2 linked regions of the Arabidopsis thaliana genome follow. The protein of the gene in region 1 interacts with the protein of each later gene in a pairwise test. Each region holds a gene or a part of one and is shown on either strand. Other genes may lie near its edges.

Region 1 (3,893 bases):
TACTTGCAAATAAATTACTTGCAAGTAACACTTTCGAATTACTTAAAATTACTTATTATTTTATTTATCATATTTTTTACTTATTTAAAATTTACTTTACTTCTAATATAGTTTTAAAATGTGTCTAACACTAAAACAATACAATATATGTATAGAAAATGGTAAAATAATGACGAGTATCGAGTCAAACGAGTCGAGTATTAGTTTTTTTTCATTACTTGTTACTTGATTTGTACTTGCAAGTATCTAAATTATACTACTTGTTACTTGCCTTGTTAAAAACGAGCATTTGTTTTTTCAAGGCGAATACGAATCAAGTAGCGAATATAAGACGAGTAACGAGTACTTATGTCTAGCCCTAATAAATATATATGTGTTTTTTCAATAACTATAACAAAAATAATCGATTAACTCTTTTGTGCTCAAGTTACTATGTAAAAATTGGTATGAACAACATTAGATACGCATCATGATAATGTTTGTTTAGTGGATAAAAAATCGATTAACAATAAAAAAAAATAGAGAGAGGCATGAAAACGAAAATAAGGAAAAGAAAAAGACTATTCGTTTGGTGTGGTCGACCTGTCCCACACCGAGGAAATCACACTTTTATGACAAGACCTACTTGTCCGTACTATATAACATTATCGAATGATTCCGATTTTCTCTTTCCTTTTTTTTTTCTTTAATACGGAAATTACTAATTAAAAATTAAAAAGCGACCAGACGACAATTCAAGAAGCAAACAAAATTGGTGGTACCGAAACAATAAATCTTTTTTATTTATTTCTAAACAATTATTAATTTATTGAAAATTTCACGAAGAAATGAAACAGAAAGTTTTTCTTGGTCCCACTTAGACGTGGCCTCAATCTTCACATCATGGCCCCACACGCTTCTCACGTGCAACTTAACCAGTTACGACAAAACAAAATTAAGAAACATATTAACTTTAGAAATGTATTTACAATGGTTAAATTATTGTTTTGTGCCATTTCGTTTAATACAATGCACCGCTACATGATCTTAAGATAGCTCACGGAAAATTTAGAAAAGTAAATCACAAGTCCCAAATATGCCACGGTGGAAGATGACATGGCAGATATAAAGCGGAGCTTTGCCACATTGAATAAAATTACGAGAGTAACTTTATAGTTTGTAAAATTAAAATCATGGGAATGGTTTAAATTTTAAATAAAATAAAACTGAAGAAATGAAGAGTATGCATATTTAATACTATCTTTTGATATGAAATTTAATTACAGTAATCACAAAATAAGGAAAAGTTAATAAGAAAAATATGGGTTGACTAAAGAGAGGTTAATTTGGAATCTTTTTACAGAAGAGAATACAGTGAACTAACATAAAAATTTTATTAGGAAAGACAGCTTTACACATTTTTAAAAATGCATTTAAGGAAAAAACAGCTTTGCACCTTTTTTTATAGGATTTGCATCTTTAAATTTTAGAAATAATACAAAAAAGGATGGACAAGAACATAAAATCTAATAGTTTTTTCAACAAAAGAAAAAATCGAATAGTTTATGCTAATATCATTAACATATTAGCAAAAAAAAATTTATTGATTTTATAATGGCTCTTTGACTAGTCAAGCTTGCATATGTTTATGTGGATGTTGCTAAGGAAACATGCATGAGTGCATCAATAAATAAGAAAGAAATATTACAAAAAAAAAACTTTTTACACGTCCCAATATTTGCAAACTTCAAGAAAGATAGTATATATTGTTGAATAAAAACTTAGTATATTTTATATTTCTCTAGATTATATTCCTTTTAAGTTCATAAAATTGGTTGTTTCTTTTTCTTTTTCCTTTTACAAAAATCAACTGTATTTTACTAACATTTAATTTACAAAAACTTTAATTACTAAACACAATTGGTAATATACCATGAAAGTCAATATCTAATTTGAATTCATAATTATTCTAAATATCTAAAATATTTAAATAGTAAAAGTAATAAATATGTATTTATAGAAAATTAAAAAAATATTGACTTTTTTCTCTCCCTTAAATAAAAGCCAATCCCATAGATTTCTTCACCAGTCGCCACAACTCCTCCCTCTTCTCTCTCTCTTTGTTTCAGAATCTCTAGGAGCTTTTTTCAACAACAATGGCTGTTCAAGCTCATCACATGAACATTTTCTCTCAGTTTATATCACCAAACAGGTAAAAATCTCATTTTTATATTCTTCTCACAAACAAACTTCCTCTGTTTTTATTTTCCTCTAATCTTTTTTATTTTTGTTATTTGCAGAGATTGTGTTAAATTTCAAGAAAACATGAACCACGGCGAGTTTGAGTTTACCGGCGGTGAAGTTCCGTTAATAACCGGAGAATCTTTCGCCGTTGAGCCTTTAGCTGCGAAAGCCAACTTCAACAAAGCAGAAAGTGGTCTCAGTTACAATTTCACTGTTCCTCCTCTGTCTACAAAACGCCAGCGAGATTTTCAATTCTCAGACTCAAACGCTCCGGTTAAACGGAGGTCCGTAGCGTTTGACTCATCATCACCGTCGTTGATAAACGTTGAACTCGTATCTCAGATTCAAAACCAACAACAGTCAGAGATCGATAGGTTCGTAGCTCAGCAAACGGAGAAGCTAAGAATAGAGATTGAAGCAAGGCAACAAACGCAAACGCGGATGTTAGCGTCTGCGGTTCAAAACGTTATAGCCAAGAAACTAAAAGAGAAAGACGATGAAATCGTACGGATTCGAAACCTAAACTGGGTTTTACAAGAGAGGGTGAAGAGTCTTTACGTCGAAAATCAGATTTGGCGTGATATCGCTCAAACCAACGAAGCAAACGCTAATACTCTTCGAACAAACCTAGACCAAGTTCTTGCTCAACTCGAAACGTTTCCAACCGCTTCAGCCGTTGTAGAAGACGATGCGGAATCGAGTTGTGGAAGTTGTTGCGGTGATGGTGGTGGTGAAGCGGTAACGGCGGTTGGTGGTGGTTGTAAACGGTGCGGTGAGAGAGAAGCGAGTGTGTTGGTGTTACCATGTCGTCATTTGTGTTTGTGTACGGTTTGTGGTGGTTCGGCTTTGTTACGGACTTGTCCGGTTTGCGATATGGTCATGAACGCTAGTGTGCATGTTAACATGTCTTCTTGACCATCTTTTTTTTTTGTTCGTTACAATTTAATTTATATTTTTTTTGTTTCCTTAGGATTATATTCGCAAAAGAAATAGCAAATTGATTCTTTTCTTTTTGTAAGTACATATAAATTAGTTTTTGGTTAACTCTTGATTTTCTTACGACTTAAATGGAATCCAAGACTGAAAATTGCAAAAAAGAAAGACGAAATAATTTGTCGAAGAGAATTTAAAGGCTCCTCCTCTCATTATGTGTGGGAAAAAAAGAAAGAATAAATCATATAAATGAATTTAAAGTGATTCGAAAATGTTTTGAAAAGTAAATATTCCAGAGTTCTTTTTAAGTTGCACCGTTGTTTGGTTGCTTATTCTCAAAGTCGATCACATGAGTTTGAATTATCTACCACCTTTTAAAGATTATCATAGCGTCGATATAAATTGAAAAAGGTATAAAAATGGTCTATGGATATATACTATTGCAATTTGGAAGTATCCTTTATCTTTCCAACCCCGCAACTATATTCAACCAGAAGAATCATACTTCGCTATCGAAACTAAAATAAATTATGATAAAAGAAAAAGAAATAGTCTGAATTCGATTGTCTCAACGACATTTTCAGTTCATAGTCATTATAGTTGTCGTGTAATAAATATTTCATATTCGGATCATGTCATGTGCAGTGCATGTCTAGACAAAATAAAATACCCCCACTAAAATGGATTTTTAAAATTATATCCTATATTAATTCTATAAACGACGAAATTAGAACGAT
Region 2 (6,151 bases), on another chromosome or scaffold:
GGAGGATACATAGAAGACATGGTGTTGCCGACGTGTTGCCGAGTAAGGACACGGTTTTTGTCTACATATTGGTGTAACGGTCCGTACAATAATGCGTTTTCAATAATTAACTAAGGGTTTTTTGGACATATTTAGTGGTGGGTTATCATCACTTAGCATGTATTTTAACAAACAATTAACTTTTCAATGAATAAACCCCTTAATGGCCACCTTAAACTCAAAGCCCAGATCAGAACCAACCAGATTTTGCCACGTGGCTCTGGAATATAACAATCAATTTCTAAATGTCTTCTTTTGAACCCAAAGAAAGGCTTTCACACTCAGTCAGTACTCACACACCACACACTAGTTCATTTTATTTTCCATATACATGCTCTATAGACATAGTTCCAAAAAAGTAGTATCACTTGGATTATCCATTTTATAGTACCAAAGTCATTATTATACTATCTTTAAAAAAATATTTTACGATGTCTTGTTCTGTTTGTTTGTGTCATATATTGGGTTAAATATTAAACATGGTGGAACCAATTATGAGCTTCGTCGTTCGAATATAATAAATAAATGAATAATGTTTTATATTATGCTTCCATTGAGGAAATCACTCAATCTATAGTGTGAATACAATTTCCATTATTTATGTTTATAGTATACATAGTCCCACCGACGAATGAGTTATTTTCCAAACATTAAATCATAAATTATTTCATCCAAGTTTATCAATTATCCACAAAATATCATTGCAATCCCCCCCAAAAAACAAAACCAATCAAGTTTAGCGCTTTGTTAAAACGCCATGATATATGATCAAGCTTGGTATAAAAAACCTGATCATATATCCTATGAACAATTCTTTGTTTTTAATTATTCCCTTACAACAAATTCCTTTCACACGTATACTATAGTGTATAATTTAACTTAAAACGATTTCTATTTTTTTTTTCTAACTTCAGAAGCTACCATTATTGTTGAACTGTTGTTGCTGCTGTAAGAACCAGAATTCTTCATCAGTTTCTCCAATGTTCCATAAACTGTCTGAAGAAGAAGCAGCACCATTAATGTTTTCAAACCAGCTGAGGTTACTCTGCTCTTGCATAGCCGTTAGATCTTCGTCTAATAATCCACTATAGTCGAAATAATTATCCGGTAATAATTGTGAACTCACTAAATTCTGATCTGGATAATAACTATTCCCCATTTGACCCGAATAGTATTCCGGGTTAGGGTTTGGAGCGCTGTAGTACTCCGTTAAGTCTGACGCCGGAGACACTGCCACGCTGGAATTTTCAGGCGTGATATAATCATTGTTGCTCATTACACCAAACTGTTGTCCCATGTTGTTGTTGTTGTAGTCGTAATTCATGAATTGATTGTTAGAGGTTGTGATGCAAGATGACGTGCCGGCTGATCCTGTGGTGGTGGTGGTTGTGGTGGTGGCTGCTGCTGCGGATGAGGCCGAGGCTGACTGAATCCTCTCGACTAGTCGAGGCATCCACAAGTACTTCATTGTGTCTTTGAATTGTTGGCTATTCACATCACATTTCAACTGTTTCGCATGCTTTTGCACCCGCGTCCTCCAGTAGTTCTTGATCTCGTTGTCCGTTCTTCCCGGTAAATATTGTGCGATTTTTGACCATCTACATCAAAATAACAAGATATAAATTAACGGTTCTAAACTAATAGTAGTGATAATCAAATTCTTATTTTCTTGGCGTCTATAACATTATTATTCATTAGTATATCTCAGTATCATACATTTAATCTCTTTTCATCCATCAACATCGACATAATTTGTTATTTTCTCCATTTTAAAATAGTTATGATGTTATTTTATTTCCAATTCACAAAAAAAATCTTATTATATGTTTGATGCATAATTTTATGTAAAACCAGATTTAATTCATTTAAATAAACTCATCAACTACATATTGTATAATTTAGTTGGAAAAGGTGTTATACTGTTTTATTTATTTTAATTTAGCATACCTATTTCCCCAACGGGAATGAAGTTCGAGGATCAAGAGTTGTTCTTCAAGTGTAATGTTTCCACGGCGGACGTCAGGGCGGAGATAGTTTAACCACCTTAGTCTACAGCTTTTACCGGTGCGTTGGAGGCCTGTTTCATTGGTAAAAGATAATATGAGGATTAATTTACCGGTCGGTCATGTCTACGTATAGTATGATGATTTTATACGGAAGAAACTCATTATAATATTTGTTTCATTTTCGTTAAAGTTATATCAAATTCCCCAATGAAATAAAATGGACCGTATTATGATGCAAATTGTCCTAAAGGGTCTTTTTCTTCAGCAAGCTTTCTCCCATTGAGTTAGTGCTCTTCCCTTATAGATGATGATCATTAATTCGCATTAGTTCTTCTTTTTTTCACCCATTTAATAACCAAATTTGGATATTTTATTCAAATTTGAGATGGTTAATAATTGAATCCATTACCAAAAGATCTCACTCAAATCATCAATACTTTATTTATTGGAAGGAAATTATATTTAGAAATAAGAAGAAGACGAGAAAGAGAAAACATGAGAGGTATGCACTTTTTGATTCATACCTATGAAGGGTCTTTTCATATATGCATATAGGGAAAGAAACCATTTTCGAATAATAATTTTTTCTAAAAACTATCTTTAAAAATAGTAAAGGTTGGGCAATTTAAAAGAAAAAAAAAAACACAAATCACACATGGTGATTGAAACATGAAAAGGATTGAACAAAAAGCAATAAATCAATTATGTTATGCGACTTGTTCTTTGGCTCTTTATGCTTAAAAGATGCTCATGGAAGTGGAAAATAGATATATACAACTATATTATCTGTATATGAAAATATATATCATACCGGCGCAACGAGAAAGAGAGTTCCAGCGACCTTCTCCATTAGTAGCAATGTAATTCATGAGCTTAAAATCTTCTTCAGCAGTCCACGGACCTCTCTTTAGGTCCATCTCGTCTTCCATGTTGTTGTTCTTCAAGCTTCTTCCTTTTTCATCCATTGATATACACAGAAGAGACCACAACAAGATTGTTCAGCAAAAAGATTGAGACTTTCTACTTTTTTTCTATGTTGTTTTGCGAAGAGAGATAGAGAGAGAAAATTTGTTTGTTTTTTGGAGTTATGTGTAGATAGAGATAGGATGAGTTTTGAATGCACAAGAAAAAGAGAAGTTGTGGGTTTTATAGAAGAAAAAAGAAGATAGTTTTCAATTTTTCTTTTTATTTTTTAAAATTATTTGGAACATGTGCGATGAAGGGAATAGACAGCCGTAATATAGGAACTGTATGTTTATTTTTTATTTTTATTTTTTGGCAGCAGGAACTGTATGTTTATTGATTTAATTTTTTTTATAATTTTGTACTCTTAAATTCTGTTTATAAGCTCTTCAAAGTTTTAGAATTCGTGAAGGTGAAAAAAAAACTATCGAATACGAGTAGTCCACTTGGCTGAACAATTATTATTCTCTTAGGGGAAGTGAGTCTTTGCATTCAAATTTCATTATAGCCTTCCGTATCCATATAATTACATAAATTTCAAAATTATGAATTTAATTCATCAATGGAATATTTCACATTTAAAAAAAATAAAAAAAATCATAGTTTTGAGCCTACTTCATTTTTAACTATACGCACATACAAACAAAAACTATAATTTTATGTGCGTGAAGGTTAAGACTATATGATATGAATGTATAAAATATTTTCGTATATCTAATTACAAATAAATAATAATGATTAATAATTTCAAAATATTTAAATTAAAATTAGAGTTATGATAAATATATAGTCAAAGTGTAAACATTTTTTTTTTTTTTTTTTTGGTTGGCAAACAGTCAAAGTGTAAACATAAAACATCAAATTTAGTAATAAAAAACGCGACCAGCAATAAATCTTCGGTGGTATTGTTAGTACTTACTTCGTTTTGTTATTTCAGATTTTGGTAAAACTATTTTTTTCCCATGTGGTGAGAGTAGTAACTTTCAAAAAAAAAAAAAAAAAAAAAAAAAAAAAAAAATCATATACAGAAATACTAAAATTAGATGTTATTGTGGTTAATATTCTGTCACGTTGATAAAAGAGCACTAAATAAAAAACTTAATTTAGGATCGACATGCTTCAAAAGAGTTTTTAGTTTCCTCTTGTTACTTGGTTTGGTGCAAAAAAAAAAAAAAAAAAACACTCTCGTCTTTAGTTAATACTCTTTATATCAAGAATTAAAGAGGTCTTAGTTAAACCTAAACCAATTAAGAAAAATACAAAAATATTTGAAAATCTATAAATAAGAATTAATATAGTCTATTGAAAATTGTAGGGTTAAAAATTAAAAACTGAACCAGATGAAGAGTTAATACTAGAAGTCTATAAGCAGAAAAAGATGCCGTCCAGATAAAATATCAGTTAAAGCCTTAAAGGACTCCAGCAGGAATAATTTAGTAAAGAGTTAATTATCACTTACCACTTAATTAAGCACTGAGTTTTAATAGTTGACCCGCTGACTTTCCATCTCCGTGCATAAAATAACTCTGTTTCCGTTTTCTGATTTCTATTGAAAACTTTGTGCTATAATAATCAATATGTTTATTTCCTTTTATGGGTTTCTAATTTATTCAAACAAGTTGCCAATAACAAATATATTCCCCTTTTTTTTTTTTTTCTACTTTCCACTTATTTCTTCCAGTTCTTATTTGACCATAAAAGTCTGAATTTATTTCACCCAAGAGGCACGACACCTATTGTTTTATCGTCATCAAATTTTAGATTTTGAGTCGTGAATCGTATACGAATTTAAATACAACTCCGAATTATATGTTTCTTTTCAAATTAGTGAAACTAGCCACAGGTAGGTTCTAACTTCTAAGTAATTAGTTAGATATCACTTTAACATTCAGCTTAATTATATGTGTCTTGTTAAGAAAAAAATAGAGTTCCGAAGCTTAGATATGCGACTATGCGAGGTGAAGAGTTTTAAAAATCAGAGATTCTTTTATCCAGTGTATATGATAGTATTAATTTGCTTAAGTTGTGCAAGTATCAGAAGACAAAAGTGGAAATGTCTACGTATCAATTATCATACGTCCTGTCGATTTTTTTTTCTTTTCAAAGTCTGTAAACATCAAAAAGACAACTTGATATTGTGTAACTTAGATATAATAGTGAACTTTGGTATAATCTCACTTTAAATACTTGAAAGCTCTCAAGCCTTCATGCACGATTCCAATTGGATGACTACTCAAAAAACTTAAATTTAAATAGAAATTTGACATTATACATACATAATGCATTATATTTATATACATAGATATATGTACTCGCCGGCACTCATGATCTAGAATATACCCTAGCTAGGAAATTTGTAATGCTTCAAAAAAACATTCTCAAAACCATCTTTTTAATTATATATATATATATATATATAACTATATATTCGCAAAACTATCTATTACAAACCATCAAAAAAATAAAATTTTAAAGAAATATAAAATTTCTCCTAAAATATTAATGTCATAAACTTGGTAAGCTTGTATTCATAAATGCAATCGGAAACAATTAATAGATGCTTAGCATTTAAACCAAAAACAAACAAAAAAGATGCTGAAAGAACTGCAAGCAAAAGCATATCTTAAATGACATCCCATGGTCCACAATTTAGATAATGCTAGGTTAATTACTAGTATGTAAAAAGCTTATAACAATAGTAAAAATATACTATTGTTTTGCTGTTATCAATTGCAAAAAAACAAAAAAAAAATGTAATACCAAAAGAATATACTACAACTATTTGTTTCTTAGTATGTTTTTACATTTTAATCATCTTAACTAGTACTATCGTTTATTGTTTGCTATTTGTACCACTAAATCAGATTTATTACAATCATTTGTTTATCTGATCGTGTAAATTGATTAACGAGTCTCTATATGTTTGAATCATGACTTTTCTTTTATTTCTACTGTAGCATGACTTATTCCAACAAACGTATAACGTAATTAATACACAAATTATGAAATTAATCGACATTATTAAATATATTGGACCACTCTCTAAAATAACCCCACGCTCAAAGCAACTACGCTAATTGTTGTAATAAATTAAATATCATTCACTACACCTTTTTGTGCACTAAAATGTAACTTAACCTACT

What was found.
Region 2: the proteins of RING (region 1) and MYB108 interact in a two-hybrid assay, tested with the Arabidopsis thaliana proteins (one study listed by BioGRID).

Annotation. Positions count from the first base shown.
Region 1 is NC_003075.7:10,712,878-10,716,770, reverse strand, and holds RING (SBP (S-ribonuclease binding protein) family protein), read left to right. Parts: upstream 1-2,025; 5' UTR 2,026-2,135; coding exon 2,136-2,191; intron 2,192-2,279; coding exon 2,280-3,138; 3' UTR 3,139-3,361; downstream 3,362-3,893.
Region 2 is NC_003074.8:2,001,157-2,007,307, reverse strand, and holds MYB108 (myb domain protein 108), read right to left. Parts: upstream 3,916-6,151; 5' UTR 3,812-3,915; intron 3,433-3,811; 5' UTR 3,011-3,432; coding exon 2,857-3,010; intron 2,117-2,856; coding exon 1,987-2,116; intron 1,638-1,986; coding exon 950-1,637; 3' UTR 581-949; downstream 1-580. UniProt on the Arabidopsis thaliana protein: Transcription factor contributing to the regulation of stamen maturation and male fertility in response to jasmonate signaling. Required for correct timing of anther dehiscence. Acts as a negative regulator of abscisic acid-induced cell death.